Linked DNA regions of Lonchura striata. The protein of the gene in region 2 purifies or fractionates together with the protein of the main gene of each other region. This does not show direct contact. Links are inferred from orthologs where the notes say so. Each region holds a gene or a part of one and is shown on either strand. Other genes may lie near its edges. The genes, in order: MCRIP1, DDX6, LSM12 and MCRIP2.

Region 1 (7,168 bases), on a different chromosome or scaffold from region 2:
CAATCATCACTCCCTGTCCCCCACTGCCCACAGCTTCCTGTCCCCTACTGCCTGCAGCTACAGGGATGCAGGGCCTGGGGTGGCTCGGGAGGCAATAGGGACTGAGTTCCCATCTTGCTGTGCCAGAACCAACAGCACCAACAGCAATGTTTTGGCAATGGGAGGTAAACAGGGTCATGGTAAGTGTCATGATGCACTCAAGCAGAAATTCAAGCAATGCTAAGTATAGCCTAAATGCCATTAAAGCAGGAGAGGGAAGAGGATACAAGGGTATTAATAGTCTCAACATTTAAATCCTGGGTGCAGTGACAGCTCCTGGGATGCTGGCTGCCCGGAGCGCTGCCCAACCAAGGGCACTGAGCCACTGACACGCGGCACCTGCCCGCAGGGAAATCAACAGCCCCAGCAAGTGCAAGGCCAGGGCCCTTTTGCGAAAAACAAACACAGCCCCTGCTCTCTGCCCCTTGTCCACACCTCAGAACTGGGCCAGGCTGCAGCACCACACCAAGGCAGCCCCAAAAGGACACCAGCGTTTATTTACAACACTCCTCAAGTGACATACCACAGTAAGGAAAGGGTACAGTACAACTCAAGGACTCAGCAAAGGAAAGGAATTGGCAGCCCCAAGTCCCCGTAGCCTTCCCCACAGCCACTGGTACTGGGCAGGCCTGGCAGCCCCATCCCCGCCAGCTCGGAGCACAGGCAGGCAGGGGGCTGCCACACTTCCCCATGGAGCAGCCCAGCAGTTCGGGTGGGCTAAGTTGACACAGTCACTCTCTCTGGCCCAGGCAAGGATGCAGGAGCTATCCACGCAGTGCCAGGAGCAAGTGGCTTAAGGAAGCGCCCCTGGCGTGGTTCCACCACCTGCAGCCACCCAGGGCAAGCTGAGGGGCCAGGTAGGTCTCTTCCAGGGGTTGCCTATCTGGAAAATGGTGTTAGTACAAAACTGCAGCGTTGCCAGAGCAAGGAGCTCCCGAGCCTTGCTCTGTGCAGCCCCATGGCTGCTCCCATGGCCACTGTCTCCTATGGGGCTGCAGGTGGCCCAGGTCCCTCTGAGCACCCCTCAGAAGCCTGGTGCAGGTGATGACACTCCACCTCTCCATCTGTAGGGAAAGGAACACCTTTCCCTCCAGCACCACAGGGACCAGGTCTGATCTAAGCAGGTAGAAAATGTGGCCTCAGATGTAGCCCACGTGCTCTGGCAGCAAGCAGCCCAGGCAGCACTTGCTGCCACAGTGGAATTGGGAGGAGTCTGACTATGGTCTCCCAGCCCTCAGCTGCACAGTGGGGCTGGACAGGAGTTGCCCCTGTGTCTGGAGGCACAGGAATAGACTCAGCTGTGCCACCTGCCCTCGGCCAGCCCCAGCAGCGGTGGAGCTCCAATGCACAAGGGAAAGCACGACCCCATGCTGCCTGATCCAACAGCGCATCTGCCTTGGCCCTGCCCAGCCTAGCACAGAGGGCAGCGACAGGAGGGGAACAGGGGATCGGGTTGCTCAGCATGAAGTAGGGAAGAGCAGTTTGAGGTGAGAAAAAGCTATGAGTGGGGGGCTGGAATCCTTTGCAACAGGCTCTGGGCAGTCTCGGTGAGGCCCTAAGCATCCTCGACCTCAGGCAGCTTCAGAGCCAGCCCCAGAGCTGACTGGCTCTACCATGGACTTTTAGAAGGACAGACCAGAGGAGGAAATCAACACAAAATCTCGAATTAAATCTGTTTGAGGAGCTCAGGTGAGCAGCCGACCCGCAGGGAGGACCCGCTTTAGGACTTCTTAGCATCCTGTGTGCTCCTCCTCTTCAGATCACCCAGGTCGACGGGTTTAAACGCTGCAAGGGAGACAGGAGAGACTTTGGGGGCAGAGGCAGCACAGCCTTCGCCCGGCGCGCGCAACCCCCGGGCCGACACACCGGCGCGGTGCCCCCGTCCCGCGCACCTTTCAGGCTGGGGTTCGGCATCTTCTCCACGTATTCCTCAACCAGGCCGCGCTCGGAGCCCATCTGGCTGCGCAGGTCGCGCTCCACGCACTGCCAGGCTGCGGGGACAGGGACAGCGCCAGGGGCCGCTCGCCTCGGCCGCCCCGAGCCTCCCGCGTCCCCACCCAGCGGCCGCCGCCCCGCTCACCCTCGTAGATAAAGCGCACGTTCTCCTCGTGGGCCGGCGTGAAGATCTCGCTGCCGGCGCCGGGGGAGCGCGGGCCGCCGCTCCGCTTTCCGTTGTACACCACCCGGGACACGGGGGAGCTGCAAGCGGAGCGCGGGGGGAAACTGAGCCGGGCCCGGGGCCGCGCTGGGCCCGGGGCCGGGCGGGGCTCACCTGGCCATGTTGTCAGCGGCGCTCGGCGGGGCCGGAAGGGGCTCGGCGGGGCCGCGGGAGGAAGGCGAGGCGCAGGGCCGGGCCAGGCCGCGCGGCGCCCCCCGCCCGTCGCCGGGCAACGCGCGCCCCTCACCTGGGCCCTCCCGCCTGCGCCACCCGCACAGACGGAAGCGCCGCAGCGCGCAGGCGCAGCCCCGCCCCCTACCGGCGGCGGCCACACCCCCGCGCCAGCCCTGCGCGCGGCGCTGGCCACGCCTCCGCCCGCCAGGCCCCGCCCCCGGCCGGCCCGGCCCCGGCCCGGCGGCACCGGAGACGGCGGCGGAGACGGCGCCGGAGGCAGTGACCGAGATGCTTTATTGGAAAAGTACAAAGTGGTTCCCGATTCGCAGTACCGAGCGCTGCTGCCTGGCCGCCGCCCGGGCCCAGCCCAGGCGCAGCCCCGGCCCTCGGCAGGCGGAGCCGCCTGGCCGGCCCCGAGGCGCTCGGGGCCGCTTTTCGCCAATGCCCGGCTCAGCGCAGCACGGTGGCTCCGAAGAGCTGCACCAGGTCCTCGTACTGCGGGTCGATGAGGTCCGACGGTTTCTCCCCGTCGTCGGTGGTGGCCTCCAGGCTGGCCCCGAGGGACAGGAGGTACCTGCAGGACGCGGAGCTGAGCCGGCGGGCCGGGCAGCCCCGGGGGCAGCGGCGGCACCGGGCAGCCCCCGAAGGAGCCGCACGGCCGCCGCTGCAGCGCGCCGCGCGGCCCCACAGCCCTTACCTGGCTATGTCGGCGTAGCCGTCGCTGCACGCCATGTGCAGGGGCGTCCAGCCGTTCTCATCTCTCTGGTGGATGTCAGCGCCGTATTTCACCAGGAGCTTGACACAGTCCAGGTTTCCCGTCAGCACGGCTTCATGGAGGGCTGCCATGCCTGAAGGGAGAGAAGTGTTAGCCCTGGCCAGGGCAAGAGCTCTCCGTGCTGAATTCACGAGTTGTGCACAGCTCAGGAAAGGGGTGCAGGAACTGTCCTCAGGGAGAGGATTGTGGGGAAAGAAACAAAGACTGAGAAAGCCAGAGGAGCTGCTGTGGGTTCCTATTGCCATTCTGCAGCATAAATACCCTGTCTGGGATGGTGCAGCACCCATTGCCCCAGCTAGACAGGACAGAGAGAGGGAAGTGGAACTGCCCCTTAGAGTCCTGGACAGGACTGACATGCAGACATGAGAAGGGTCTCTCGCATCGTGCTCTGCCTGAGTTTCAGAAGCTCATCACTAACAAAGAATCAGTATGGACAGAAAGAAGCTCAGAGTCATTTGAGCCTCTGTCTCCATGGCCTTGTGAGAGCAGAAGCTGAAGCCAAGCACAAGAAAAGGACAAATCTGGGCTCTGCATCAGCCTGCAGAGATCACGGCATTCCATTCCATTGCTGGTGAGGCTGTACACACAGAACACAAAGCTTTCCCTGAGTCCCCAGAGGCAGACATACTAAAGGGAGCAGTGGCTGTGAGAAACAGGCAGAACCAGGAGCAAATGCAGATCCCCCAGTCAGGGGAAAAGGCAGGAGCTGCAGGGTCCTGCCCGCAGCTCACAGCCTGTGCTTGCTGCTGCCCTTTGAGGTCCCAACACATTGTAGGTGCTCAGTGGTGCCTTAAAGGGACCCAGAGGCCAAGCTTCCTCTTTCCACAGCATGTGCTGGCTGTGCTGTTGAGGGCAGATTTTGGGGCCTCGGCCTGGGGCTCTTGCGCCCTGCTGGGCACTGCTCTTGCTAGTGAGGGGCCTGGCTTGCTGCAGTCCTGCTGAAGGTGGCCCACAGCCCAGCTCGAGTGTCCCTCACAGCCCCACCAAGCTGTGCCGCTGCTCTCCCCAGCTCTGCCCACCAGCAGCACTCACCAGAAGGGTAGATGGTGTCCAGTGTCACCTTCCTGGCTCGTATGAACCTGCCCACCTGCTCCAGGTCCCCCTTCTTGATGTGGTCCTGAAAGACGACGTCGTTGGGGAAGTGCACGGTGCGCGAGGCCCTGAGCCGTGGCGTGTACCGGCGGTACCGTGGCCCCAAGGGGCAATAGTCCCTCATGCTGACCGCAGCCTCCAGGCACAGCGGCGTGGGCACTGCTCGGCACGCGGCCCAGCCCCTCACTGGGCTGCCTCCTCTTCTGCCCGTCAGGGGCCCTCCTCACTACGGATGTGTGCTGGCCCCGCAGCGCTGCGCTCCTGCTGTGCCCCCGCCCGTGTCCGTGTCCCCTTGCCACAGGGAAGTGGCAGCCACCGTGCTCTCCTGTACTCCCTGAGTCACATGCAGGAGGTGGCGCCTGGCACTTGCAGCTCACCTACAGGCCCTTGGCCCAGGACTGTTGATTCTCTGGGAGCACCACGTTATAAAGACTCCCTGGGCTATTTTGGGGACATGCAGCTCATGCTATTTGCCATGATGCTTCGTAATCGAACCGCCCAGGCCTGCAGCCTCCCACTTTTGGGCAGAAGTTGATGTCTCATCTTACCACCCACCTGTTGATGTGCCCCATCCAAGGGGTCAAATCTACTCTTGCATGGGTAGCCCTACAGGGGAGCCTGGAAGCAATTTCCCATCAACTCAAATCCTTCTGGGGGAAGGGGCATGGGCACAACCAGCAACACAGGGAACTGGCCGCTCGTGTCCCAGTTGGCTAGTGCACTGTGGGTGTGCCAGGGCCATGGGCACAAACACATCCAGAGCTGTCACCCTCCTGTTGCTGCAGGGGACAACCTAAAAGGAGCCGGAGGAGTTCCTTGCCCAGCACAGCTGTGACAGCACAGCCCAGCAAGGAAGCACAACTTGAGTGCCAGATGTCCCCTGTGCCCTTGTGAGGACAGAGGTGCTGCTGGTGATCCCAAGACAGGCACAGAACTAGAAGCCGGCACTGCTGGTCCCTGGTGTTCCTTGTCCTCCTCGAGATAGGGAAGCAGCTGCTGCTGAGGGCAGGCTACTGCAAGCAGACTTAGAGGAACAGCAGAACAGCACCACCATCAGACAGCTTCTGCCTCTGATACTCTCCAGCTACACTGTCATGACCCAAAACAGAACCATCTGAGAGAAATCATTCAGGTCCACCATGGGTTTAAGCAACCACTGTTTTCTCCCATCAAAGTTTGGGCATGTCAGACTCTGAAGCATTTTGTGCTCTGTCATGCTGATGGGGATTGTCCAGGTGGGTGTGTCAGAAAAAATCCCTGTGCTGCTTTAAGTCAGGGGTTTCACTCTGCCCCTCCTGCTGCAGCCCCTTGCCCTGACCCCAGCAGCACAGTCAACCATGCACCTTACAACTCCTGCACTTGTTTATCTGCTGGCCAATGCATTGATTTCTTGGCCAAGCATCTGCTTGTGCTTAGATGAGCCTGAATATGGTACGGGGCATCCAAGCTCAGTACTAGGGACTTCCAGCCTGCTTTCTTGGAACAGCAATTAGGCATGTACATCAGATGGCTGCTAAGCTCCTGCTCTGCCACAGGGAGCCTTGGGCTAGGAAAGGCATCTCCTCTAAGCTGAGCTCAGTGAGTCTCTGCCCAGGAAGAGGAGAGCCACTGCAGAGCTCAGACTTGGTCACAGTTCAACTGGCTGTGCAAAATACATCTATTCAAATTGAATTCTAGACAGCATCTTTCACTGGAACTTTACTAGTGAGATTCCCCTCCTCCCCACTCCAAAAGACAAAGCAGCTGTCACCAACCAGCCCAGGTTACCAGCACTGCTGGGTTTGTCGAGGTGCAGCAGTAGCCACTGCCTACCTTCAGTCAGGTGGGGGCATGGCCCTGGAGGGAGGCATCTTCAGAGGTCTACCTCCATGTAACTGCAGGTTCTGGTCTCACACACACCTGGCTGCTGCTCTGACAGGCACAGCCCTTCCTGTTCCCATGGTCAGTGGGGACCTGCTCAGCTCCAGCCCTGGGGCTGCTGTGCCCAAAGTTTGGGAGCACCACGGGCTCTGCTGGGGCACAGAAGGCTGGAGTGGGAGACAGACATAAGTGTTGTCCAACACCCGTGCCACTGCTCCAGCACACATCCCACTCCTTGAGACACAGAGGTGCCCCCATTTGTCCTCTAGCCTCAACATGCCCTCCTGTGACATTTATAGCATATTTTATAACCAAAATACCTTCAGCAGCAAGCAGCAGGTTTGGAAATAGCACCGTGGCTCACAGGGTCATGTGAGCCTGACTAGCAGAGCCACAGCAGCCCTGGCGTGCCCTGAGATTCACTGCTCCAGAGCAATGTCCCCTCAGCCCAGCCAGCTGGCCCAGGGGGTGCACAGTCTCAGAGCCAAACCACGGCCCGTTCACTCCTAACAGAGCACCTGCACAAGCCCATGGAATCCAGACAGGACATGAGCATTGGGATGTTATTTTCCTTTACTAATTGGAGAAAGTGACACACACACCATTGCAGCAGAGTCCCTTGAGAATCATCCTACAACTCTGACCCCTCCTTCCAGAGAAGGTTCAAATAAAGAGACAAAATAGTATTAAAATCTCAACTTTATTTGGCCATCAAATTCAGTACCAATGTTATTGTAGCAGAATGCTAAGAACCAGCCTGATACAGCTCAGGCCTGTGAGGCACTCCCTCAGTCACATTCCCAAGCCCCAGTAATTGCAAATGTCCTGTTTGATCTGTTTATCAGACCCTCCCCCACCACCCACCTGCCGGGTTAACCCACTCAAAATAATTCATGAAAGGGATTGCAACTCTTGTCTTTGATCAAAAGGATGTCAACACAGCTGGTGAGCCATCAGCCATCTCCACCCTCAGAGCCTGCCACAGCCAGTGCACACAGTATTCCACCCCTCCAGGAGTTTGGAACAGTCATCTCCAAGTGTCTTAAAGGAGAAGGAAAAGGAAACGTCTG
Region 2 (7,482 bases):
GATAAATTAAAGCCAGAGCATTACAATGAGGAGATCAGGAACTACTATTTCAGATCAATAACAGAAGATAACTGACTTTAAAGCATTTTTCACCATGGGAAAGAATTACAATAAACTGAAAGGCAGAAACAATTAGACTGAGACCAGGTGGCATTTCCTCCTCAGTCTTAAACGTCAGCTCAGTTCCCTCCCACTCCTATACTTCCTTCTTGCACCACTTCCAGCAAGCAAAAAACACAGGATTCAAAAGCTGGGCTACCTCTGACAGTGGCTCACACTCAGAAAAGCACAGGACCAAATTGGATTTTCACAAAAATTACTGTTAAAGAGAGAAGCTCACATGTGGAAATACTTGTAATGCACATGACAGGACACTTCTAACCACCCATGTGACAAAACAGAAGGCAGCATTTTCAAAGTGGGAATCCAAGAATGCTTTCCCATACATAACTTCTAAACATTCCTTGCATGGCAGCCGATACAAACACTTACTTAATAGCGGTGGTCATACTCTGTGCTTGCTGTTGAGTGCCATTATTGATTGTGTTGGCATTTTTCAGCTGGTTCATCTGTTGCTGAGTTTGTGTGCCTCCACCTCCTGGGCCCCCGCTGGGTTTTACAGGGCCTCTCAACTGCCCATTCTGACTGGATAGACCCATTATAACAGGGTTCTCTGTTCTGGCCGTGCTCATGCTTTTATCTTTAAAGATGTCTTTTTAGACTTCAAAACTTTGAAAGTCAGTACAGAAACTGTAATAACAGTTTATTAGACTCTCCAAAATGAAGAGATAAATAAGTCTTGCTCAATATATGAGTCCTTTATTGCAATGCAGGCAAGCACCTGTAAGTCACTCAAAAGTAAAGCAGTAACTTGCTCTGATGCACTGTGGAACAACTTTTTTTTAAAAAAAGCCCTCTATTGAAGTTCAGTTATATCACAATTCACTTGCTTCAATCTGAAAGAGAAGCAGACAATAACAATTAGCATATGGATTTTTCTCTGTGCAAATCACATCAGTTTACTTTTGTATTTTAAGAAAAATTTCTTCCAGACTGTGTGCAACAACAGTACTTGCCGTTTTCGTGATAATTATAAAGACATGCATCAAACATTTTTTGTCTTTCTAGAAAATGTTGCCTAACATCTTCAGACATCAAAGAAAACTTCCCAAACAGCTGTACTTTCAGCGACCTTCCACTACCTACCCCCTCTGATAAAGTAACCATTAAGTGTATCAATTGCTTTGATGGCTCTCCAATTCCCCCACTTCCGTGATGCAGCCAACCAGCCCTAAAACGTGAACAACAATATTATGCGTAAATTTGTGACAAGAAGCAAGACTACAATATCAAGCGGACATTCCAGTTAGAACTGACAAAACCCTTACATTATAAACTAATTGCCCTGTTTGGTTTGAATGGGAAATATAGATTATGCAAACCAAACCAACAGCTTACATTCCTCCAACCCAAAATGCTAGCTCAACCAGCTTACCCCCAGTTTTCAACCAGGTATTGATTTAAGGCTATTCAGAAGAGCGACAAACCAACACCATTACACTGAACTGAGAGCAGCTGCCTCTTGGAGTCAAAGCCACTGAGCTTGAACTGAGGCAGCAACGCTGCTGGTTCCCCAGCTTCTTGCTTGTGATCTTACCTTCCCACTGTCAGCAACAACTTGTGTGGTCCTCAGAAGATAACATTTCATACACATGACTTAATATTGACACTGTATGTAATAGAGAGGTTGCAAAACTATGGAAAGACAACACGTAGTCTGCCTCTTACATAATGCAAGTATGGACCAGAGCTAAAGACTCCTTACAATGATACCAGGGAGACAAAACGTCCCTAGTCCAAAATCTTTTGGAATGAAAAGTAGGCTCGCCTTGAGCATCTGCATCTTGGGAAAACACAAAGGGAAAACCAGCAGACTACTGCTTCCTAACCTCTGCATTCACAACAAAATGCATGTCTTCCCTGTGAATAAAAAAGCATATTGAAGAGCATTTCAAGAAAGTGGAAAAGGAATTCAGACTTCCCAGCTGTTTTAAGGTGTGTTAGTGCTGGCTTCCAGCAACATTGGAAAGTTTGCGATACTAGGATTTTCTGCTAGTTAACTTTCAAGGCATCTTCGGAAAGATACTTCTTTTAGCAATTAACTTCGTAAAAACCAGAGGAGTTACGAAGGCAGCCAGAGACGCCAATGAGACCCGACTACTAACACCGATAAGTTCTCCAATGGTGTAGGAAATGAAACCTCTCAGTCCCTTATGCCTTCAAGCTCGTAACTATCCTTTTGAAGAGCACAGGTTAAAAAAACCGCACAGTCTCACGGAACCCAAAAAAATCTCCCTGTTCCGATAAAAAAACCGCCACCATTTTGCAAACCAACGGACTGAAAAAAAAGGGCCTCCGTCGCATATTTCTGCTCTCCGGGCGCAGGCGGGCGGCCAGGGCAGCAGCTCCGGACCTCTCCCTTTCCGCCGGCTGGGCCCGGCACAAAGGGAGCCCTCGAGGTGCTCAGCGCGCCCGATGAGCCCGGGCCGCAGTGCAGAGCCCCGGGGCAGAGCGGCGGGCCCGGCGCCGCCCGCCGATCGCAGCTGCGCCACACCGGCACCTCCCGCCCGCGAACAATGGAGCGGCCGCCCCTCGCCGCCCGGGCCGGCGGGGAGCGAGAGCCGCCCGGCCCCGCCCCCGCGGTGCCCCGGCCCCGCCGCTCCGGTGCGCCCAGGCCCGGTCCGGCCGTCCCCGCCCCGCCCGCGGCGTCGCCAGGCCCCACTCAGGCCCGCGCTCTCGCCGCAGGCCGCGAGGCGCGGCCCGCCGGCAGCGGCCCCCTCACCCTGATCCCACGGAGCCGCGCCCGCCCTGGCCCGTGCTCACCGCCACCAGCCGCGCTCCCCCTCGCCCAGGTACAAAATCCTCTCGCTCCCCCGGTGCCTTGTTATGGCGACTCGACGCTCCAAGATGGCGGCTTCCTCCTTCCTCCTGTGCGCCCTCCCCCTCCCGGCGGGTGGCACCGGCCCCGCCCCGGCCCACACGCACACGTACGTACGTACGTACGTACGTACGCACGCCCGTACGCTCGGCGTGCGTCACGCCGCACCCAGCGCGCTCGAGGGCGGGCCGCTCGTCCCCTCCCTCAGAGCCGGCCCTCCCCTCTGACCCGGGGAGCTGACCGGGCTTTGCCGTTAAAACAGAGCCAACACAAACCTAACAACGGGGGTCTGAGCCACAGCCTGCAGGAGTCGTAACCGCCGACCGTGACAAGCTGGGGATTGGCATTTCTCTTTAGATAGCTGTTACTTAGATGTGGATTTTGACAAACCGAGACACAGTGGGAATGTAATCTTAGTAGTGACTGCTTTGCAGACAATTTTTTCTTCAAATGTTTTTCCAAAATACATGCAAAAGGACAGGGACATTCCTGGTTTTATCTAGTTCCTCACAGCTCCAGCAGTCTGTAGGTGGTTGTCTTTCCACCCTCAGCAGCAAAAGGCACAAGCTCCACCCTCCAGTTGTAGCTGATTGCAAACATCCTTCCTGGCCTCTCGTCTCCCAGTGATACCCCACTCCTCGCCTTGCCCCTCAGCCCTCGCAGCACGGGGTTCAGGACAGGGCTTGCTCAGTCTGTGCTCTGCCTGTGAGTGAGGCACAGTGCAAGCTCCCTGTGGCCTCCCTCCGGGTCTGCTGCTCTCCATCCTGTCAGCAGAAAATGCCCAGGAGCTGATGAGCACCTGCAGGTGCACACAGAGGTCCTCACGGTATGGGAGGACAGCGACATCCTCGGGGCAGCTGGTGCCCAACAAGTCGGGGTCTAAGAAACAGGAGTGGTGTAATCCAGCAGTGCTCATGGGAATAACACCACCTTCTCCTTCACAAGTACAAAGTCCCACCAGAGTCCTTGCTGGTAGAGACGCCTTGATGCAGCTGTACCTAGACGAGAGGAGGACAAAAACTGTGCTTGGCAGACCACCTCAGCTCCGCGCACAGGTAAAGCTTTCTGCCAAAATGCCAGCTGCAATGCCAACCTACTCTGCTGACCCAGACCACTGTGAGTCTGTTGCTGTGACATCACTGAACAAAATGCCTTTCCCCAAGCAGAGAAGATCTTGATTCTCCTTACTTACCCTTGTGAAGTCAAGCTGCCTAGCCCCTGCTAGCCCTGCTCTAGACTTGCAGAGTAGCTGCAAGGCTTTGCTTTCCTGTGCAAGCCACCTCACACCCCCCCCCCCCCCCAAGCCCAAAGGAGGGGTGAAGCAGCAGAAGGAGGAGCAGAAGACCACTACAAGTCAGTGGGGTTAAAGCAGCCAGGAGGACCCCAAGGCAGAGGGTGATGATCATACAGACCATACCCATGCTTCAAAGTCCTGCACAGCTCCAGAGAAGTGCCTGGATCCAGGAGGTTTCTGGTAAGGGTGGTCCTTAGCACAGAACTTTTCAAAGCCTTTTGGACCACCTGTAACAAAGACAGCTGTGGGCAAGGTTTCCAAGGAAGACCTAAATATGTTCTGGATCTTCTGTGGTATAGATCAAAGGAATAGGGACTCTTCAAACTCTACTTTAAAAATCAATTACAGCACTAGTAAAAAGATTATAAAGCTAGATGTTAATCTTTACATCAATCAGGTCACTCTATGCCTGGAGCTCATTTGCCTTGCAAATACTCTATTGTTACAGTCTGTGTCCCTCCCCACTCACTTAAATTGTTAACTCCACCTCAGAAAATAACTTTTGCAGCAATTTCTGGAGGAGAGACGGATCGTGCCCCTCAAACCATGGGGCCTGTCAGCTACTCATCAGAGACCTATGACTTGGTGAGTTGGGCCTGGCTTTGCTTGATAACAGGGATGGCAGGTAGAGCTAGGGTGGGCTGAAAGGCCAGATTTCTGGCCATCCATCTTCTAACCCTCCTGTTGGCAGAGGCAGAGCTTGAGCCATTTCTTATGCCAGCATAATTAGTCCTTGCATCCCTTAAATCCAGACTTGACTACAAGCTGTTGCTTGCAGAGAGCTGGCGTAGTGTGGCTCCAGCCTGTGATGCAGGGATGCTGGGTATTCTGTTGGGGAAAGCTAACGGAACCTGTACTAGCAAGCACTAAGCCCGAGTACTGTCCTTTCATGAGGACACAGACCAGAGTCTCTGCAAAGGGTCAGGAGTCTCTGCCAGAGTGGGGCTCCAGCAGTCCCATCCTGTGCTGCCAGCCTCTCCCTGCCTCTGCTTCCTGCTGCCCTGCTGTCTGCACAGCCATTAGCACAACATGGGCATAAAACAGTTATTCTGAGCCAGGAACCTTTTGCACCAGGCTTCAGTAGTACAAATGACTGTGTACACAGTGTGCAAAGCCCTGTACACCTTCTCTGGTCTCCTTTGACAACTGGAATACCCAAGCAAACCCAGTCTTCTCTCTACGTGTGTAAAAACCCTTGGTATGGTATGACCACCCTGCTTACTTGCTCCACATACAGGCTTCCATACATATGGCTCCACATATACTCTGCTGAAAGGGGAACACGCAGTGTATTTACAAGACAGGATTAAAGAGTGGGAGATAGATTGCAAGTACTACTTCTAACAGAGAGTGATGACACTAGGTATTCTACCTTAGTTCTCTTCCCAGCCTTTACAAGTGAAAAAGAGCAGCTGTACCTTATACAGTATGTTGTGCTATCCAACGGGAAGAACACAGCAGCATTATCATTAACCTGGTTATCAAATATTGCATCTCAGAATTTATTTTTTTACTACAGTGGCTCCCTGCAGCAGACCTCAGGATTAATTATTCCAAAAAGAGAAATGTTGGATTCAATTGTTACCTGATTTTCTGTTCTTCCTTTTTTCCTACACACCAGGGAAGAGCAAGCCCTACCCTATTTATTTCTTTTCTGATTCATCCAGTATAAAAACCCTTGGCAAATAGTGGTCATTCCTTTAAAACTCTTTTGGAGAAGACACTTCTTTCCCTGACCTCTGTTGAAGTTCAGTGGCAGCGCTAAAATTTCCTGAGGGGTTAAAACCAAACTCAAACCTTTTTCATCTCATTTTCTTTGCATACAAAACTTACATAATCCTTAGCTTTGTGATTTTATCTCTGCTGTGAATTCTTTTACATAATAAAGAAGACCCCGTGTGAGTGGAGGGTTGGGTGGCAGAACCCAGCTGATTTTAGGACTAAACACCCACAGTCAGGTGCCACAGCAGGAAGAGTTTTAGACCTTTTCTCAGACTTCTGCAGTTGGGAGTTTGATATGTGTTGTTTCCCACCTCTGTCTTCTGGCAGCTTCCCAGATTTGGCTCCCTCCCTGGAATAGGGAGGCCGCAGATATCACATGAGCATCAATGTATTTGCTTTGGTGGTGGCATATGTTGCTTTACTTATACTCAGTGCTTGTAGCAGCAACCTACCCATAAAGATTTGAAAAAAAAGGCCTCCAAAGTGTCTTGTCAAGGTGGCAACACAAACTCTGCCTTGTGCAGAGAGGATCGTTTGATCAATTGAGCAATTATGGAAGGAAAAATTATGAGAACATTTACACCAAAAGGGCATTTATCTCAGTATCACACAGTGAATACAGTGAGGGCCTCACGTAAATTTTGTTATCATATGAGACTTTTGACTCTGTAACCTTGCAGAAAAGTACCGTGTCCAAAATGATAACCCCATTTCTCCATAGCAAAAATGCTTTGCCTGCTAACCTTCCTCATCTGCGGACTAGACATCCAAAAACAAGTTGCAGAAAAACCACTGAGATCTATACTAGGTTCCCTGAGGTTCCTTGGCCCAGTTTTCATTGCAATGGGACCACCATGACTCAAGAGCGTTAAGGCACCTACACTGCAGTAACATGTAATTTCCACAGGCCTTGGTCTTATTCCTGGATTTCCCTGGTTCAGCCCCTGCAGAAGTCATGAGCAGAAGCTCTGTCAGTATATTGTATTGATGTGGGCAATTACAGTTCTGAGGTTTTCAAAATGAGATTTGCTGCTCCCAGCCCTGGCATTGACTAGAAGGGAATGATTCACATGGAAAATCCGTAACAGTGGACAAGCTGCTTCACTTCTACAGCCAAATATTTTGATCGCTGACAGTTGTGGGGAACTGAGAAAAACAGCTGACAAAGGGAGACCAGAATAACTCTGTGATGCAGGTTATAGGGTAAAGGGAACCTCGACCAAAAAGCATGCAGGAACAGTTTTCCCAGGCATGCACTCAATTGCTCTATTACAGACAACACTTTTTCTTCCACCCCCAAACCTGCTGCAATTGTCATGCAGGAGACCTGTACAAAGGTCCCTCTGCATGCTCACTGTTCACTTATCCCATCCCAGATATGGCAGCCATCCACTTCCAGTCCTAGAATTGCAGCAGAGTTCCCAGAAGCCTCAGCTTGCCATATTCAGTAGATCTCCTGCAGCTCTGGTTCCTGCCCTTCCTGTCTCAGCCCAGACTCTGATTTTTCATTCTATTTGTCTCCAGCTCA
Region 3 (7,120 bases), on a different chromosome or scaffold from region 2:
GTGAGACCCCTTTTCCCCCGTGACACCCCTGTCCCCTGTGAGACCCCTGTCACCCGGGACCCCCCTGCCCCCCGTCCCCCGGCTCTCACCAGTCCAGGTCCAGCCCCGCGGCCGTGGCCAGCCCGTGCAGGGCCAGCGCGCCCAGGAGCAGCCCCAGAGCCGTCAGCAGGAAGAAGCGGCACTTGAGGAAGTTGGGGGGCCAGCGCTGCAGCCCCCAGCCCAGAGCCATCCCTGGCGGGGGCACAGGCGGGGTCGGCACTGGGACGGACCGGGAGGGGGCCCGGGGAAAGGCTGCGGCGCCCCCCTCACCTGCCAGGGAGCCGGTGACCACCTGATGGGGGAAGTGGGCCAGCACGAAGATGCGGGAGAGCCCCATGGCCACCAGCAGGACGATGTAGGCAAGGAACGGGGTCAGCCTCAGCAGCCGGCTGGGAGGGAACGGGAGGAAAGCACGGCTGAACGGGGCAACTAAAACTGCTGGGGGGCTTCAGGGGCTCTCCCGGCCCCTTCCCGAGCTGCCAGAGAAGGGATGTGTCCCCTGGAGCGGCTCTGCAGCGAGGGAAGGGATCCACATCACCCTCCACGGGCGCTGGGGTCCCACATCCACCCCCTCTTCCACTCTGGAAGCTCCCAAGGGACGGTGTCTCCATCCCGGGACTCGTCCTGCCTCTCCCCCTGGTTCTGCCCCACATCCCCAGCGCTGCCCCTGCCCGTGCCGGACTCACCTCCGGGTGCACCGGGACACCTCCTCGCTCAGGGCGGTGACAACCGGCCACAGGGCCGCCGCCAGGATCATGCAGTGCCCCGAGGGGCTCCCTGGGGACGAAGCACAGGAGAGGCGCACTGCCGAGCCCAGCCCTTCCCCGCCGCTCAGAACGGCTCCTCCCGCCGGGACGGGGCTCCCGGGGCTCCTCCCGGGGCTGCCGAGCCGGGACTCACCTGGGCCCGTCTCGCAGGTGACCGGGAACTGGCGCAGCGGGAGCTGCTCCCGGCTGGAGAGCCCCGACTCGTGGATCCACCAGTACGGGCGCTCCCCGAACAGGAACCTGCGGCAGGGACAGCGCGGGGCTGGGAAAGCCCAGAGAGCCGGGCCGGGATCCTGCAGGGTCCCTGCAGCCCGAGCTGGGATCCAGGAGAGCAGGATCCCAGCAGGATCCCTGCAGCTCATCCTGAATGATCCGGGAGAGCAGGATCCTGCAGGATCCCTGCAGCCCATCCTGAATGATCCAGGAGAGCAGGATCCTGCAGGGTCCCTGCAGCCCAAGCTGGGATCCAGGAGAGCAGGATCCTGCAGGATCCCTGCAGCTCATCCTGAATGATCCGGGAGAGCAGGATCCTGCAGGATCCCTGCAGCCCATCCTGAATGATCCAGGAGAGCAGGATCCTGCAGGATCCCTGCAGCTCATCCTGAATGATCCAGGAGAGCAGGATCCTGCAGGGTCCCTGCAGCCCATCCTGAATGATCCAGGACAGCAGGATCCTGCAGGGTCCCTGCAGCCCGAGCTGGGATCCAGGAGAGCAGGATCCTGCAGGGTCCCTGCAGCCCGAGCTGGGATCCAGGACAGCAGGATCCCTGCAAGGTCCCTGCAGCCCGAGCTGGGATCCAGGAGAGCAGGATCCCTGCAGGATCCCTGCAGCCCATCCTGAATGATCCAGGAGAGCAGGATCCTGCAGGATCCCTGCAGCTCATCCTGAATGATCCAGGACAGCAGGATCCTGCAGGGTCCCTGCAGCCCGAGCTGGGATCCAGGAGAGCAGGATCCCTGCAGGGTCCCTGCAGCTCATCCTGAATGATCCAGGACAGCAGGATCCTGCAGGGTCCCTGCAGCCCGAGCTGGGATCCAGGACAGCAGGATCCCTGCAAGGTCCCTGCAGCCCGAGCTGGGATCCAGGAGAGCAGGATCCTGCAGGATCCCTGCAGCTCATCCCAGCAGGATCCCTGCAGCCCATCCCAGGACAATCCCATCTCCAGGATGAAGCCACAGAGGATCAGGATCGTTTGCCAGCCCCGATGCCCCCTGAGCTTTCCTCTGCCCGGAATTGCTGGCGGCTGCTCAGGGTGGCTGGGGTGACCCTGCGGAATGCCCCAAGCTGGGAGTCTGTGCCCCAAAATCCCCAGGCAGGCAGGGAGTCAATGTGTGTGCCCAAACCCCCCAGGCTGGGGTCAGTCTGTGCCCGGGCTGGGGTCAGTCTGTGCCCAAACTGGGGGTCAGTCTGTGCCCGGGCTGGGGTCAGTCTGTGCCCAAACTGGGGGTCAGTCTGTGCCCGGGTTGGGGTCAGTCTGTGCCCAAACCCCACAGGCTGGGGTCAGTCTGTGCCCAAACTGGGGGTCAGTCTGTGCCTGGGTTGGGGTCAGTCTGTGCCCGGGCTGGGGTCAGTCTGTGCCCAAACTGGGGGTCAGTCTGTGCCCGGGCTGGGGTCAGTCTGTGCCCGAGCCCCCGGCAGGGTGCGGGGAGCCCCCCGTGTGCCCCTCACCACTTGAGCACCACGTTGAGCCACTCGGCCAGCAGGGCGATCCAGAGCAGCAGCGGTGGCACGTGCTTGCCCAGCGCGCGCGCCAGCGGGAAGAACACGGTGTAGACGGATTTGGGATCCAGCTGGGACGTCAGGAACAGCCAGAAGCGCTCCAGCCAGGCCGGCCCGGCCTGCAGGGCCACGGCGGCGCGGATCCCCGCCTCGTGCAGGGCCTCCATGGCACCGGGCTGGGCACAGCAGGGACGGGTCAGCCCGGGCACCGACCCCGGGAGTGCCCTGGGGATGGGCTGGGAGGGGGTGGATCCCCGGGGATCCCGTGGGGATGGGGATGGATCCCCATGAATCCCTTGGGAACGGGGATGGATCCCCGGGAATCCCTTGGGGACGGGGATGGATCCCTGGGAATCCCTTGGGGATGGGCTGGGAGGGGATGGATCCCTGGGAATCCTGTGGGGATGGGGATGGATCCTTGGGAATCCCGTGGGGATGGAATGGGGATGGAGGGATGGATCCCTGGGAATCCCTTGGGAACGGGGGTGGGATCCCTGGGAATCCCGTAGGGATGGGGATGGATCCCTGGGAATCCCATGGAGACGGGGACGGATCCCTGGGAATCTCATGGGGATGCCGTGGGAGGGGATGGATCCCAGGGGTGCCTTGGCACTGAGGGGAATGGATCCCCATGGACCCCAGGGGTGCCTTGGCACTGGCTCAGGCACTCACTGACCACCTGAAGCTTGCCCAGAAACGGGTGCCCAGCCCCTGCCCGGGGGCAGGACACGCCTCTGCTGGCTCTGGGATGGGGCCGGGGCAGCATCCCAGGGATTGCTGTGGGATTTGCTGTAGCAGCCCAGATGCTCCAAAGAGCCACCACCGCCCTGGGGCCTTCCCTGGAGACCTCCTGGGGCTCCTGTGGGCGTTCTGCAGAAGGCCTGGGGAGTCCCTGGAGCCTCCCTTGTTATTCCTTGGGGTTTCCCTGTCCTGTGGTTATCCTGCGGAACGCCTGGGCTCTCCCTGGAGCCTCCCTTGCTATTCCCTGAGGATTCCCTGGGCTCTCCCTGCAGCGGCTCCTGAGCATCCCTGGGCATCCCTGAACATCCCTGGGCATCCCTGAGCATCCCTGAACATCCCTGGGCATCCCTGAACATCCCTGGGCATCCCTGACCATCTCTGAGCATCCCTGAACATCCCTGAGCATCCCTGGGCTCCCTCTGGGCTCCCTCTGGGCCTGCCTGGGCTCTCAGGCCCGAGGCCTCCCTAGGCTCTCCCTACACCAAGACCCCCGGTCTCCCCGTCCCCACCGGCGGGCTCTGCGGCCCCTGCGCCTCCCGGAGGCGCTGCCCAGCCCCGGTACCGGCGGGCGGTACCTGAGGGGCGGATTCCATCCCGGCCGCCCCTCAGCGCTCCCTCCCGCCGCTCTCACCGCCCTCTTCCGCCTACACTTCCCAGCACCGCCCGCGCGGCGCCGCGCTACGGCGGGGCGGGAGGGCCAAACCTCGCCCGGGTGCGCGTGGGGGGGGCGGGCCCGGCCAATCAGCGCGCGGGGCGGAGCAGATCGGCGGGGCGGAGCGCCAATCCCCGCCCTCGCTGGCGCCTGGCCCCGCCCCCGCCGCGCCTGGCCGAGGCGAGCGGAGCCGCGGGCGCTGCGGGCGGACAAGATGGCGGCGCCGGGCGAGTACTTCAGCGTGGGCAGCCAGGTGTCCTGCCGCACCTGCCAGGAGCAGCGCCTCCAGGGCGAGGTCGTCGCCTTCGACTACCCCAGCAAGATGCTGGCGCTCAGTATCCACCCGCCCGCGCCTCGCCGCCGCTGCTCCCGGCCCCGGCGCGGCCCGCTCGGGCCTCTGCGGCCCGCCCGATGGGGGGGGGGGGGGGCGTGAGGGAGGGAGGGGAAAGGGGGCGAAGGAGGGGAAGGGCTGCGAGGGGATGGAGGTGGGCGGCGACAGGGAGGGGTTTGAGGGGCAGCGGGGAGACCCCCGAGGGGTGGGGGGAGTGGGGAGCCCGGCAGGGAGGTTTTGGGGGGAGCGGGGAGGTTTGTTCTGGGGGGATTGGGGAGCCTGGGTTAGGGGGGAATGTGGGGATTGGGAGCCCGTTTTGGGGTGAGTGGGGGCCCTGTATTGTAAAGAGCTTAGGGGGGAGTGGGGAGCCCGGCACGGAGGTTTTGGGGGGATTGGGAGCCCGTTTTGGGGTGAATGGGGGTCCTGGATTATAAAGAGCTTAGGGGATCCCGTATTCTAAAGGGTTGGGGGAGTGGGGAGTCCGGCAGGGAGGTTTTGGGGGGATTGGGGAGCCTGGGTTAGAGAGGAACGGGGGGATTGGGAGCCCGTTTTGGGGTGAATGGGGGTCCTGGATTATAAAGAGCTTAGGGAATCCTGTATTCTAAAGGGTTGGGGGGAGTTGGGAGCCTGGCAGGGAGGTTTTGGGGGGAGCGGAGAGGTTTGTTTTGGGGGGATTGGGAGCCCATTCTGGGGTGAATGGGGGTCCTGGATTATAAAGAGCTTAGGGGGGAGTGGGGAGCCCGGCACGGAGGTTTTGGGGGGATTGGGGAGCCTGGGTTAGGGGGGAATGGGGGGATTTGGAGCCCGTTTTGGGGTGAATGAGGGTCCTGGATTATAAAGGGATGGGAGCAGTGGGGAGCCCTGTACTGGCTTGAAGGGGGGCACAGGAGCACCCAGTTTTGGGGAGGATGGGGCGGACTGTGCCGTCCTGGAGGGTTTTTTTTGGGGGGGCAGCGAGGAACCCTGTAGTGGGGTGAGTGGGGGTGTGGCATTCACTGTGGGGGGCTGGGAGCGCTGGATTGGGGTGAGTGGGGGCAGTGGGGGGGTCCCGGCCTCCCCAGTAGGAATAGACGTGGATCTGGTTTTGTTTGGAGCCTGCAAGGAACGGGGAAAGGCTTCGGGAAGCACTGGGGGGCCCCGGGTGGGGGGAAAGCTCAGCTCAGGGCTGGTGCTGGGGTTTGGGGGCACAGGGTTGGGTTTGGGGCACAGGGGTGGGTTTGGAGCACAGGTGTGGGTTGGGGGCACAGGGGTGGGTTTGGGGGCACTGGGGTGGGTTTGGGGGCACAGGGTTGGGTTTGGGGACACAGGGGTGGGTTTGGGGGCACAGGGTTGGGTTTGGGGCACCGGGGTGGGTTTGGAGCACAGGTGTGGGCTGGGGGCACAGGGGTGGGTTTGGGGGCACTGGGGTGGGTTTGGGGGCACTGGGGTGGGTTGGGGGGCACAGGGTTGGGTTTGGGACACAGGGGTGGGTTTGGGGGCACAGGGTTGGGTTTGGGGGCACCAGGGTGGGTTTGGGGCACAGGGGTGGGTTTGGGGACACAGGGGTGGCTTCTGCAGGGACTGGGGGGCTGGGAGAGGCTTTTGTGGCCTGGGCTGTGGGAAGCACGACAGGAGAAGGGCCCCTGGGTGCCTGGGATGTGGCTGGAGCCAGGGCAGCTGCCGGGTCCCACTGGAGGAAAGTCCCAGCAGGTCTCACAGGTTGCTCAGCGCTGCCTGTCGGCCCCAGGGGGGCTGGGCCCTTCCCAAAATCCAGCTCTTCTTCCACAGCTGGATGGAATTCCCTGGCTTCCTGCTCACTGAGCGGCGATTTTGGGGGGGCTCCACCTTGTGCTCAGGGGGCTGGGAGAGGAGCAGGGCCTTCCATGGGGATCTCTTCCAGGAGATGGTGCTGGCATGGAAGAGGTTCTCCATGCTGTGCTTCCTCCATCCATCCATCATCCATCCATCATCCATCCATCTTCCATCCATCTTCCATCCATCTTCCATCCATCTTCCATCCATCTTCCATCCATCTTCCATCCATCATCCATCCATCTTCCATCCATCATCCATCCATTATCCATCCATCATCCATCCATTATCCATCCATCATCCATCCATCATCCATCCATCATCCATCCATCATCCATCATCATCCATCCATCTTCCATCCATCTTCCATCCATCTTCCATCCATCCATCCATCCATCCATCCATCCATCCATCCATCCATCCATCATCCATCATCCGTCCATCCATCATCCATCCATCCGTCCATCCATCATCCATCCCTCCATCATCCTTCCCTCCATCCATCCATCCATCATCCATCCATCATCCATCCCTCCATCATCCTTCCCTCCCTCCATCATCCATCTATCCATCCATCCATCATCCATCCATCCATCCATCCATCCATCATCCATCATCCATCCATCCATCCATTCATCTATCCATCCATCCATCCATCCATCCATCATCCATCATCCATCCATCCATCCATCATCTATCCATCCATCCATCCATCATCCATCATCCATCCATCCATCCATCATCCATCCATCCATCATCCATCCATCCATCCATCCATCCATCCATCATCCATCCATCCATCCATCCATCCATCCATCCGTCCCTCCACCCTCCCGGGAGCAGAGGAATTGTGCAGGAATTCTCTCCACTCTGGAAGGGGTGGTGTTTTTTTGGGGGTGCTGTCTCATTCCCAACAGCAGCTCCAACCACCCACCTCATGCATCCCTCTGCTGGGAATTCCTCCCAGAGCAGGGAATGCTCCCCGGGACCTTCTGCCTGTGGGAAGGAGAGAGTTCTGGTGGAAAAAGAGCAAATTTGGGGGAGCTGGTTCAGTGGTGGTGGTGCAGCAGGGCAGGGGA
Region 4 (7,839 bases), on a different chromosome or scaffold from region 2:
AAATGACCACAGAATCACAGAATTTCCTGAGCTGGAAGGGACACAGGGATCCTCCAGTCCAGCTCCTGGCCATGCACAGACACCCCAACAATCCCACCCTGGGCCTGACATCTTTGTCTAAACACTCCTGGAGCTCTGGCAGCCTTGGGGCTGTGCCCATTCCCTGGGGTGCTTGTTCAGTGCCCAGCACCCTCTGGGGGAAGAACCTTTCCCTGATATCCAATCTAATGACACCCCCAAGCCTCCTCCACCTCTGTGCCATGTCCCCAAAAGGCCAGACTGGGTGTACAGGAACATTCTCTTCCTTGGGGAGTTCTCAGCTGCTGCAAGAACCTGCAGGTTGCTGACTCCGGGTGCCACCAGACAAGTGTTGTCCCCATGCCCAATTGTTCCTGCTGGCCCCAGGAGAAGTGGGTTCCACAGGTGCCTCCTTTCTCTCCAGCATGATCCTGAGCCCCTTGGTGGCAGGAGAAGGCCTGAATGCCAGAGGAGTCAGCAACAGAGTGGAACATCCAAGGGACGCAGTGCAACATCCCCACCACAGTGCCTGGGGCCAGCTGTCTCCCCCCAGCACCCCCAGAGTGACCCAACCAGCCCCTCTGGCACGTCCAGCACTGGAATCCTCCTTGTCCTTCCACCACAGCTCTGTTCAGATGCAGACTGAGCCCACAGCCACTGCACCCCGAGCCTGATGCACCCCAAAGTGCCACAACCACTGCCCACTTACTTTTGAGTCCGGGGTTGGGGGTTTTCTCCACATACTGCACGGGGCCGCAGGCGCTCTCCCCGCTCCGGCTGCCGTCCAGCTGCTGCTCTACCTGCTGCCAGGCTGGAGAGGGGAACAAGCGCTGCATGGGTTTGGGATGGGGGTCCCCAGTGTGGGGGGCTGTGGGACAGGAGCAGGAGGTGGAGCAAAGGAGGGCAAGCCCCCAGGCCGGGGACTCCATGCCTGCCACCGATGTCCCCGGCATGGAGGGACTCCATCTGCTCCAGGTCCCCTGGGTGCTGCCCCAGGGACCCTCTGCCCTCACCTTCATAGACAAAGCGGACATTCTCCTCGTGGGCCAGGGTGTAGCATTCTTCAGGGGCTGAGATCTGCTGCAGCAGCAGGGGGGGCCTCTTGCCGTTCACTCTGTTGAAGACGAGTTTCTGCACTGGACTGTGGAGGAGGGAAGCAAAGGGGGATGAGGGCACAGGCAGCTCTGCGCACCCCAGCAAGAACTGGGGTGGTTCAGGTGTCCTGGGCTCCCCCACGGTGCACACACTCACCCACAGCTGTGGTCACCCAGCCTTGTCCTCAAGGACTGGGATGGAAAGGGACCCAGCCCCCAGGGGCAGGGGATTCTGACACAGGAGGGGTGCAAGGGGAGCTCCCTGGGGAAAAGCACCAGCTGCCCATCTCCCACCCATCCTGCAATCTAGCACCAAGTGCAGTCCCTAAGATAAAGAATCTGCCACTAAAATTGCAGGAACATGAGGAAATGGAAGTGAAATCCAGTCAGGTACTGGACAGAAGATGTGCCATCTTCTGCAGATCAAGCACTCAGGTTCACTGGAACAGCTCTGGCCCCAGCATGGGGCACACAAGGCGCCCCAGGACTGGGATGTTACATTCTGAAAAGTACGAGCAGGTCAGGCTTCCTCAGAGCTGGGATGCCCTCTGCTGAGGGGCACTTCAACCACTCCCTCCCTGGATGCAGCAACCCCCACCAGAGCTAAAGGAAAAACTTGGGATGAGACTTGGGAGCATGTTCAGTGCAAAACTCCAGTATTTTGGCTTTTCTGCTCAGCTCCAGGGCAGGACACGTCTGCAACAGCCACGTTCCTCATGGGACAAAGTCTAAGAGGCCCTAGGAGTGGGTTTGGAGGGCAGGAGAGACTGGGAGCAGGCAGCTCCTGCAGATCTGCAGGCAGGGGCTGGGGAGGGCAGTGACATTGTAGCCCCCACATCCAGGGGCACTGGGCAGACAGGAGGAGGGCAAGCATGGCAGAAGCCACTCCAGTGAATTCTAGAGATCCTGGAAAGCAGAGGGACTGGCGGGGGAGGCTCATCCATCCACTTCTTGGAGCTGGAGAGGAGGTGCAGAAACAGCGGGGTCCCACTATCCTGTCTGGGTGTGCTGTGACTCCAGCCCTCAAGTTTGGAAAGAGTCTCCTTAGGGGTCCCATCACCACCCCCCAGCCACTGGAATACCCCACAGCACCCAGCCAGCAGCTCCAGGTATTGCTGCGGGACACAAATTCACCCAGCAAGTGTCGCCCTTGCTTTTGGGGCAGAGGGGATCGCCAGCTCCGCGTGGGCTCCGCGGCCCCCGTGGGTGCGCGGCGCGGCCAAGCGGGCGGGCCCGGCGCTGGCCCCGCCGCCCGGTTTGTGCAATCGGGGCCGGCGGCGGGTGGGGGTTGCGCCAGCGGCCCCGCCTCTGCCCCGCACCGGGACCCCGCCGCGCCGCCTCCTTGGCGTGACCCCCTGGGCCCACTCCCCGAGATTTTTGGGTACGGCCCGTGGGAAGGAGGGGGACCGGCGCTCCGGTGTGTCCTGGACGCGGGGCTGCCCCGGCACGCGTGCACAGAGCTCCGCGGGACGCGTGCGGGCACAAGCAGCGCTGAGACCCCCGGGGCGAGCGGCACCGAGCGGAGAGCCCGCGTCCCCTCCCGCGTCCTGCCAGGCGGCCCAGCCGTCCCGTTCCCCTTCCCCTTCCCAAGGTCAAGCGGCGCGGCCGCCCCAGCGCCGGTCCCCGTCCCAAGGTCAAGCGGGGCTCACCTGGCGGGGGGCCACGGGCCGGGCTGCGGCCGGCCCCGCAGCTCGCCCAGTTTGCTGCTGTCCACCGCCTGCTGCGTGGGACCTGCGGGGAGCGCGGGGCGTCAGGGGGCGGCGAGGGTGGCAGCGAGCCCCCGCGGCCCCGGCCCCGCGCCCCCCGGTACCTGTGCGGCGCTGCGTGGCGAGCTTGCTGGGGCCGCGCGTCAGCGTGTACATCCTGCGGGCCCCGGCCCACGGCCCTGCCGCCCCTGCCCGAGTGCCTCAGGTGTCCCTCACCGGGCGTCAGCGGGCTTCGCCGAGCCAACCTCCGGGCACGCCCCCGCTTGAGTTAAAGGGAACGCGGGGGAAGCGGTGGGACGCGGCGACAGCGCGCGGCCGCTCGGGGCCGCGGGGGACACGCGCGGGACAGGCCGTGGGGACACGCGGGAGGCGTGCAGGGACACACGCGACATGTGTGCTGCGTAAGGGACGTGCCTGGGTTGTGGGGACACGTCGGGGACACATCGGGGGCGCGCGTGGGGATTAATGGGGACACGCAGGATGAAGGAACATGCACTGGAGACATAAGCAGGGCGCATATGGGGACTTCCATGGGACACAGAGGGGACATGTGGGACTCGCACAGGACGCACAGAATGCACACAAGGGACATTGGACCGTGCGGGGCTCAAGTAGGGGAAAGGGCACAAGCAGGCACGTGGGACACAAGATGGCACAGACGCGCAGAGGACACGGGAGTCACGGGAAACTCGGGGGGACCGGCACGGGGACATGCAGGAGACAGGACACTGGAGCCACGGCACACACAGGGGACAGACAGGTGTCATTCCTGGACCCCGGACAAAGGACCCAGGCAGGGAAAAGTGAAGGGGCGCAGAGGCAGGGGCTGAGGTGCCACCCCCACGGGGACAGCGCCGTGAATAGTCCCGAGCTGCACGTCCCATGACCAGCGCAGGGAGCCGGGGCGGGCAGCCGCGTCCCGGCCAGCGCCGTAACCTTTGGAGCGGGGACGTCCCGCCAAGGTGTCCGCACGTGGCAGGAGGTGCAGACCCAGGACACGACCCCGAGCTGGACCCCGGCCACCCCGCAGTGTCCACCGGCCGCCCCTGTGGCTGTCGACAGCACCCGGAGTTTTGGGGAGAGATCGTGTGATAAACACGAGGGTGACCTTCGCCTTTCCGCCACGTTGCCCCGGTAGCGGCCAGCGAGGGAGGCGTGTAAGAGGGTACCTCCCATAAAAGCCCAGCAGCGCCTGACCCTGGTGGGTGCCAGGCAGGAGCAGACCTTTTGGGGGTGTGCATCCACTGCTGTCACCCCCAGCCCTGTTATTGTGCCTAAAAACAACCCTGACCCATGGGATGTCACTACTGGCATGTAACGTGCTGGCGGCTGTGCCTCAGTTTCCCCGCAGACCTGCCCGGGGTTTCTAAGTGCCTGTTGGCGCACCCCTGACCTTTTCCACGCTTGGAAGGCCTGAACCCCTAATCCTTGTGCTCTAGGTGGATCCCTCCGGACCTCCATCACCGGTGACTGCTGTCGCGGGAAAGGGCGGGTGGGGGTCCCCCCTCGCCTCCGTTTTCCTGGGGTGCCCGCGCAAAGCCTCGCTTTGTCCCTTTCGGGGGTGCCGCTGCGTGGCGGCGGAGCGGCGGCGGCCGGGCCGGGGTCCCGCGGGGGCGGCAGCTCCGAGGGGCGGCGGGAGGCGGCGGCTGCCGGCCGCGCCGCTGGTGTAGTGGTATCATGCAAGATTCCCATTCTTGCGACCCGGGTTCGATTCCCGGGCGGCGCAGTTTTCTTTCTCCTTCCCCTGCCGTGGGGGCTCCGCCCGCGGCGCGGGGCGGGCCGGGAGCTGTAGTTCCGCCGCCGGCCCGGCCATGCAGGTCCCGGCGGCCGCGGAGCGCAACAAGGGCCCGATCCTGGCGGTGCTGCGGGAGTGCGCGGGGAGCGGCGCGGGCGCGCTGCGGGTGCTGGAGGTGGGCGCGGGCGCGGGGCTCCACGCCGCGCACTTCGCCCGGGCGCTGCCGCAGGCGCGCTGGCAGCCCTCGGACATCGACCCCGGGGCGCTGCGCAGGTGAGCGGGGCCGGGGGTCCCGGGGGGACGGGGACCCCGGGGGCTCCACCGGCACCCCTTCCCACGGACCATGGACCCGCGGCCCCCGCTCTCTGCTCCCCATTTTATTTATTTATTTATTTATTTATTTCGGGGATTTTGGGAAAACACCAGCGTCCGACTCTCCTGCAGCCCGGGCTCTCCTGCTTAGTGCTTTGTTCCCTCCAGGAGAACCCCGATATTCAGCTCTTGGATGAACTGGATGCATATTTTTTCCCAGTAAAGGCCTACTCAGCAGTGGGCCCAGGCTCCACGATTCTTTTATTTTTTCAGGAAAAACCCAATAATCGACTCTCCAGCAGCCCAGGCTCCCCCACTTGCTGCTGTATTCTTTCCAGGAAAACCCCAATATCCTGCTCTCAGATGAGCTTAATGTTTATTTTTTCCCAGCAAATACCCCCTTGGACAGTCCAGACTCTCTGGCTTGATGCTTTATTTTTTTCCAGGCAGACCACAATATTCAAGTCCTGCCCAGCCCAGGCTCCCCAGGTCAATACTCACTATATTTTCTTCAATAAATCCCCAATAGCCAACTCCCAAACAACTCATGCTTCCCAGCTCCCCAGCTTTATTTTTCCCAGAAAACTCCCAAAATTCAGTTTTCCACCGCAGAAAAATAATTAGCCTGGTGGGGAGGTGCTGGTACCAGCTCCTGTCCAGGAGGAGTTTGGTGCTGCCCACCCAGCAGCACCCACCACCCTGGGTAAAAATAATCTCCAGGCTGGGAGGCTGCAGGAGCTGAGACCTAGGTGGTGAATGTGCCAAAAAGGACATAAATAACAGCAAAATCAGGAGGTGCTGGTGCAGTGGTGCCCGTGGGGTGCCCCACAAGGGGACGGTGCTCCAAAACTGGGGAGGTTTGGCCCTGGGGCCTCTGTGTCCACATGCTGCTGGTTATCCAGGCACTCCCAGTTCTCCATCTGGCAGCTGCAAGCAAAGGGCTGGGCAAGGAGCCCCAGGCTGTGCTGCACCCACGTCCCTTTGTGGGTGTTCCTCCACTTCTGAGAGCCCACGCAGGGCTTTGTCCCTGCCTGCAGCACCTGCTGGGGGGCACGGGGCACCCGGCTGGGCCTGAGGCGGGGTTTGGTGCCCACAGCATCGCTGCCTACGTGGAGGCTGCAGGGCTGCCCAACCTGCTGCCCCCCATCCTGCTGGACGTGTCCCAGGGCTGGGAGACCTGGGGGGGCACCCAGCCCGCCTCCCTCGACCTCATCGTGAGCATCAACATGATGCACATCGCAGAGCTGCGGTGCACCGAGGTGAGCAGCCCTGACAGCCCCTTCCCCTGCCAGGCCGAGGGGGCTCCCAGGGCGTTCCCCAGCCCCCTGACCTGGTCCCCGCCTCTCGTTCCCCAGGGCCTGTTCAAGGGTGCTGGGGTGCTGCTGAAGCCTGGAGGTGTGCTCTTCACCTATGGGGTGGGTCACCTGTCCTGGTGCAGGAGCATCCTGGGGGTGCAGGATGCCAGAGTGGATACTGGGGGGGCAGGTGGGAGGGCAGCTGCAGTCACGGCTTAGGGGGAGAGCTGGAAAATGCAGGGGCTTGGCTTCTGGGGGTCTCTGCCTTTTTGGGCACATTCTGAGAACTGAAAAGAGCAGTTTTGGGGGAGACAGATCTTGTCCTCCCTCACCTCATCCAAAGCAGGGTCTGGGGGTGCCTGCAGTGGGTGACGGGACTCACAGTGCGTGGCGGGACTCCCTGGGGGCTCTGTCTCTTCCCGCTTGGCTTCTGTGCTTGGTGGGGACACAGCAGTGTCCGTGGAACCGGAGCTGGGGTGGAGGAGGAGGCACAGGGTGGCTCCTGCCTGCAGCTCCAGCTGTGTCCCACCAGCCCTATGCCGTGGACGGCCGGATCAGCCCCCAGAGCAACGTGGACTTCGACCACAGCCTGAGGCAGAGGTAGGAGGGGGCTGGGGAGCTCAGGCTCCTGGGAGCCCATCCCGTCCTCTCTGTCCCCCCCTGCAGCCGCAGGAAGCTCCCTCCCAGCGTGGTCCTTCAAGATAAGCCACGCCTGAGGGCAGCCCCCCAGCCGGGGGTGCCCCTGGTTGATGGGGCTGGTTTGGGGCGGGGTGTCCCCGGGGTGACCCGCGCCTCCCTCCCCGCAGGAATCCCGCCTGGGGGCTGCGGGACACGGCGCTGCTGCAGGAGCTGGCTGAGGCCAACGGGCTGTGCCTGGAGAGGATGGTAGGTGATGGGCGCTGGGGGGCTGCCCGTGCGGTGTGCACCCCCGAGCCCGCTCTGTGCTTCCAGGTGGACATGCCGGCCAACAACAAGAGCCTGATCTTCCGCAAGCTGTGACCTGCCCTGGCGGCGCTTCCAGCGCCTCCCAGCGCTGCTGTCCCCACTGAAGCCTCCTGCGGTGTCGCTGTCCCACCATGGCTGCCACTGGGGCTGGGGACAGCAGTGATGGGACGGAGCCCCACTCACCCCAGCTGGGGCTGACTTGGCTGGAGGGGGGGTCCATCTCCCCTAGTGCCCTTGGAGCTCCCTTTGCAGTGGGGTGCCCCAGCCTGGACCACAAGAGCCAGCACAGCTGCTGTGGGGGACACAGGTGTGTGTGGGGTGGGGGCACACAACACCCGTGGGCATGGGGGAGACTCCTTGCTCCATTTCCTTGGAGGATCTTGTGCTGGTGGTGTTCCCCCTGCCCCCCTCCCCAGGATTGTGCTGCTGCCTCCGCAATAAACTCTGTGGCTTTGCCCCCCATGCCCCAGTAGCTCCCTGATGTTTTCAGCACAAACACTGGGGTTGGGTGTCCCCAGTTCCACCTCCAGCACCAATGAAAGGGCCAGGTCCAGCACCCTGGGGTGTTACACTGGGCCCAGAGGCTTTGGTGAAGTGGGAAGATTTTATGAGTGGGGTGGTCCCAGCAGATCTCCCACCCCTCTGCAACCCAACTCAGTTCTCGATTGCTGCTGGACAGTAATTGGGGGGGGGGGGTCACACAGTGGGGGGAACATGCGGCAGATAAATTACAG

The links.
Region 1: the proteins of DDX6 (region 2) and MCRIP1 purify together in Homo sapiens (affinity purification with mass spectrometry; 3 studies listed by BioGRID and IntAct, with this or other methods). This does not show direct contact. The link is inferred for Lonchura striata from reciprocal best matches to the Homo sapiens genes DDX6 and MCRIP1.
Region 3: the proteins of DDX6 (region 2) and LSM12 purify together in Homo sapiens (affinity purification with mass spectrometry; 5 studies listed by BioGRID and IntAct, with this or other methods). This does not show direct contact. The link is inferred for Lonchura striata from reciprocal best matches to the Homo sapiens genes DDX6 and LSM12.
Region 4: the proteins of DDX6 (region 2) and MCRIP2 purify together in Homo sapiens (co-immunoprecipitation; 5 studies listed by BioGRID and IntAct, with this or other methods). This does not show direct contact. The link is inferred for Lonchura striata from reciprocal best matches to the Homo sapiens genes DDX6 and MCRIP2.

What each region holds. Positions count from the first base shown.
Region 1 is NC_134621.1:11,909,781-11,916,948, forward strand, and holds MCRIP1 (mapk-regulated corepressor-interacting protein 1), read right to left. Parts: upstream 2,409-7,168; 5' UTR 2,320-2,408; coding exon 2,312-2,319; intron 2,239-2,311; coding exon 2,120-2,238; intron 2,031-2,119; coding exon 1,932-2,030; intron 1,825-1,931; coding exon 1,760-1,824; 3' UTR 515-1,759; downstream 1-514. Other genes in the region: PPP1R27 (protein phosphatase 1 regulatory subunit 27), read right to left, coding at 2,822-2,945, 3,069-3,219, 4,179-4,362. UniProt on the Homo sapiens protein: The phosphorylation status of MCRIP1 functions as a molecular switch to regulate epithelial-mesenchymal transition. Unphosphorylated MCRIP1 binds to and inhibits the transcriptional corepressor CTBP(s).
Region 2 is NC_134625.1:11,073,315-11,080,796, reverse strand, and holds the start of DDX6 (putative ATP-dependent RNA helicase DDX6), read right to left. Parts: upstream 3,027-7,482; 5' UTR 2,884-3,026; intron 1,292-2,883; 5' UTR 1,207-1,291; intron 957-1,206; 5' UTR 693-956; coding exon 493-692; intron 1-492.
Region 3 is NC_134627.1:8,636,787-8,643,906, reverse strand, and holds the start of LSM12 (protein LSM12), read left to right. Parts: upstream 1-4,077; 5' UTR 4,078-4,133; coding exon 4,134-4,254; intron 4,255-7,120. Other genes in the region: G6PC3 (glucose-6-phosphatase 3), read right to left, coding at 90-231, 310-428, 726-816, 940-1,046, 2,476-2,702, 3,843-3,860. UniProt on the Homo sapiens protein: Nicotinic acid adenine dinucleotide phosphate (NAADP) binding protein. Confers NAADP sensitivity to the two pore channel complex (TPCs) by acting as TPC accessory protein necessary for NAADP-evoked Ca(2+) release.
Region 4 is NC_134618.1:2,610,962-2,618,800, forward strand, and holds the start of MCRIP2 (MAPK regulated corepressor interacting protein 2), read right to left. Parts: upstream 3,054-7,839; 5' UTR 2,975-3,053; coding exon 2,923-2,974; intron 2,844-2,922; coding exon 2,762-2,843; intron 1,160-2,761; coding exon 1,032-1,159; intron 830-1,031; coding exon 728-829; intron 1-727. Other genes in the region: METTL26 (methyltransferase-like 26), read left to right, coding at 4,630-4,826, 5,962-6,124, 6,221-6,280, 6,693-6,760, 6,967-7,045, 7,112-7,159.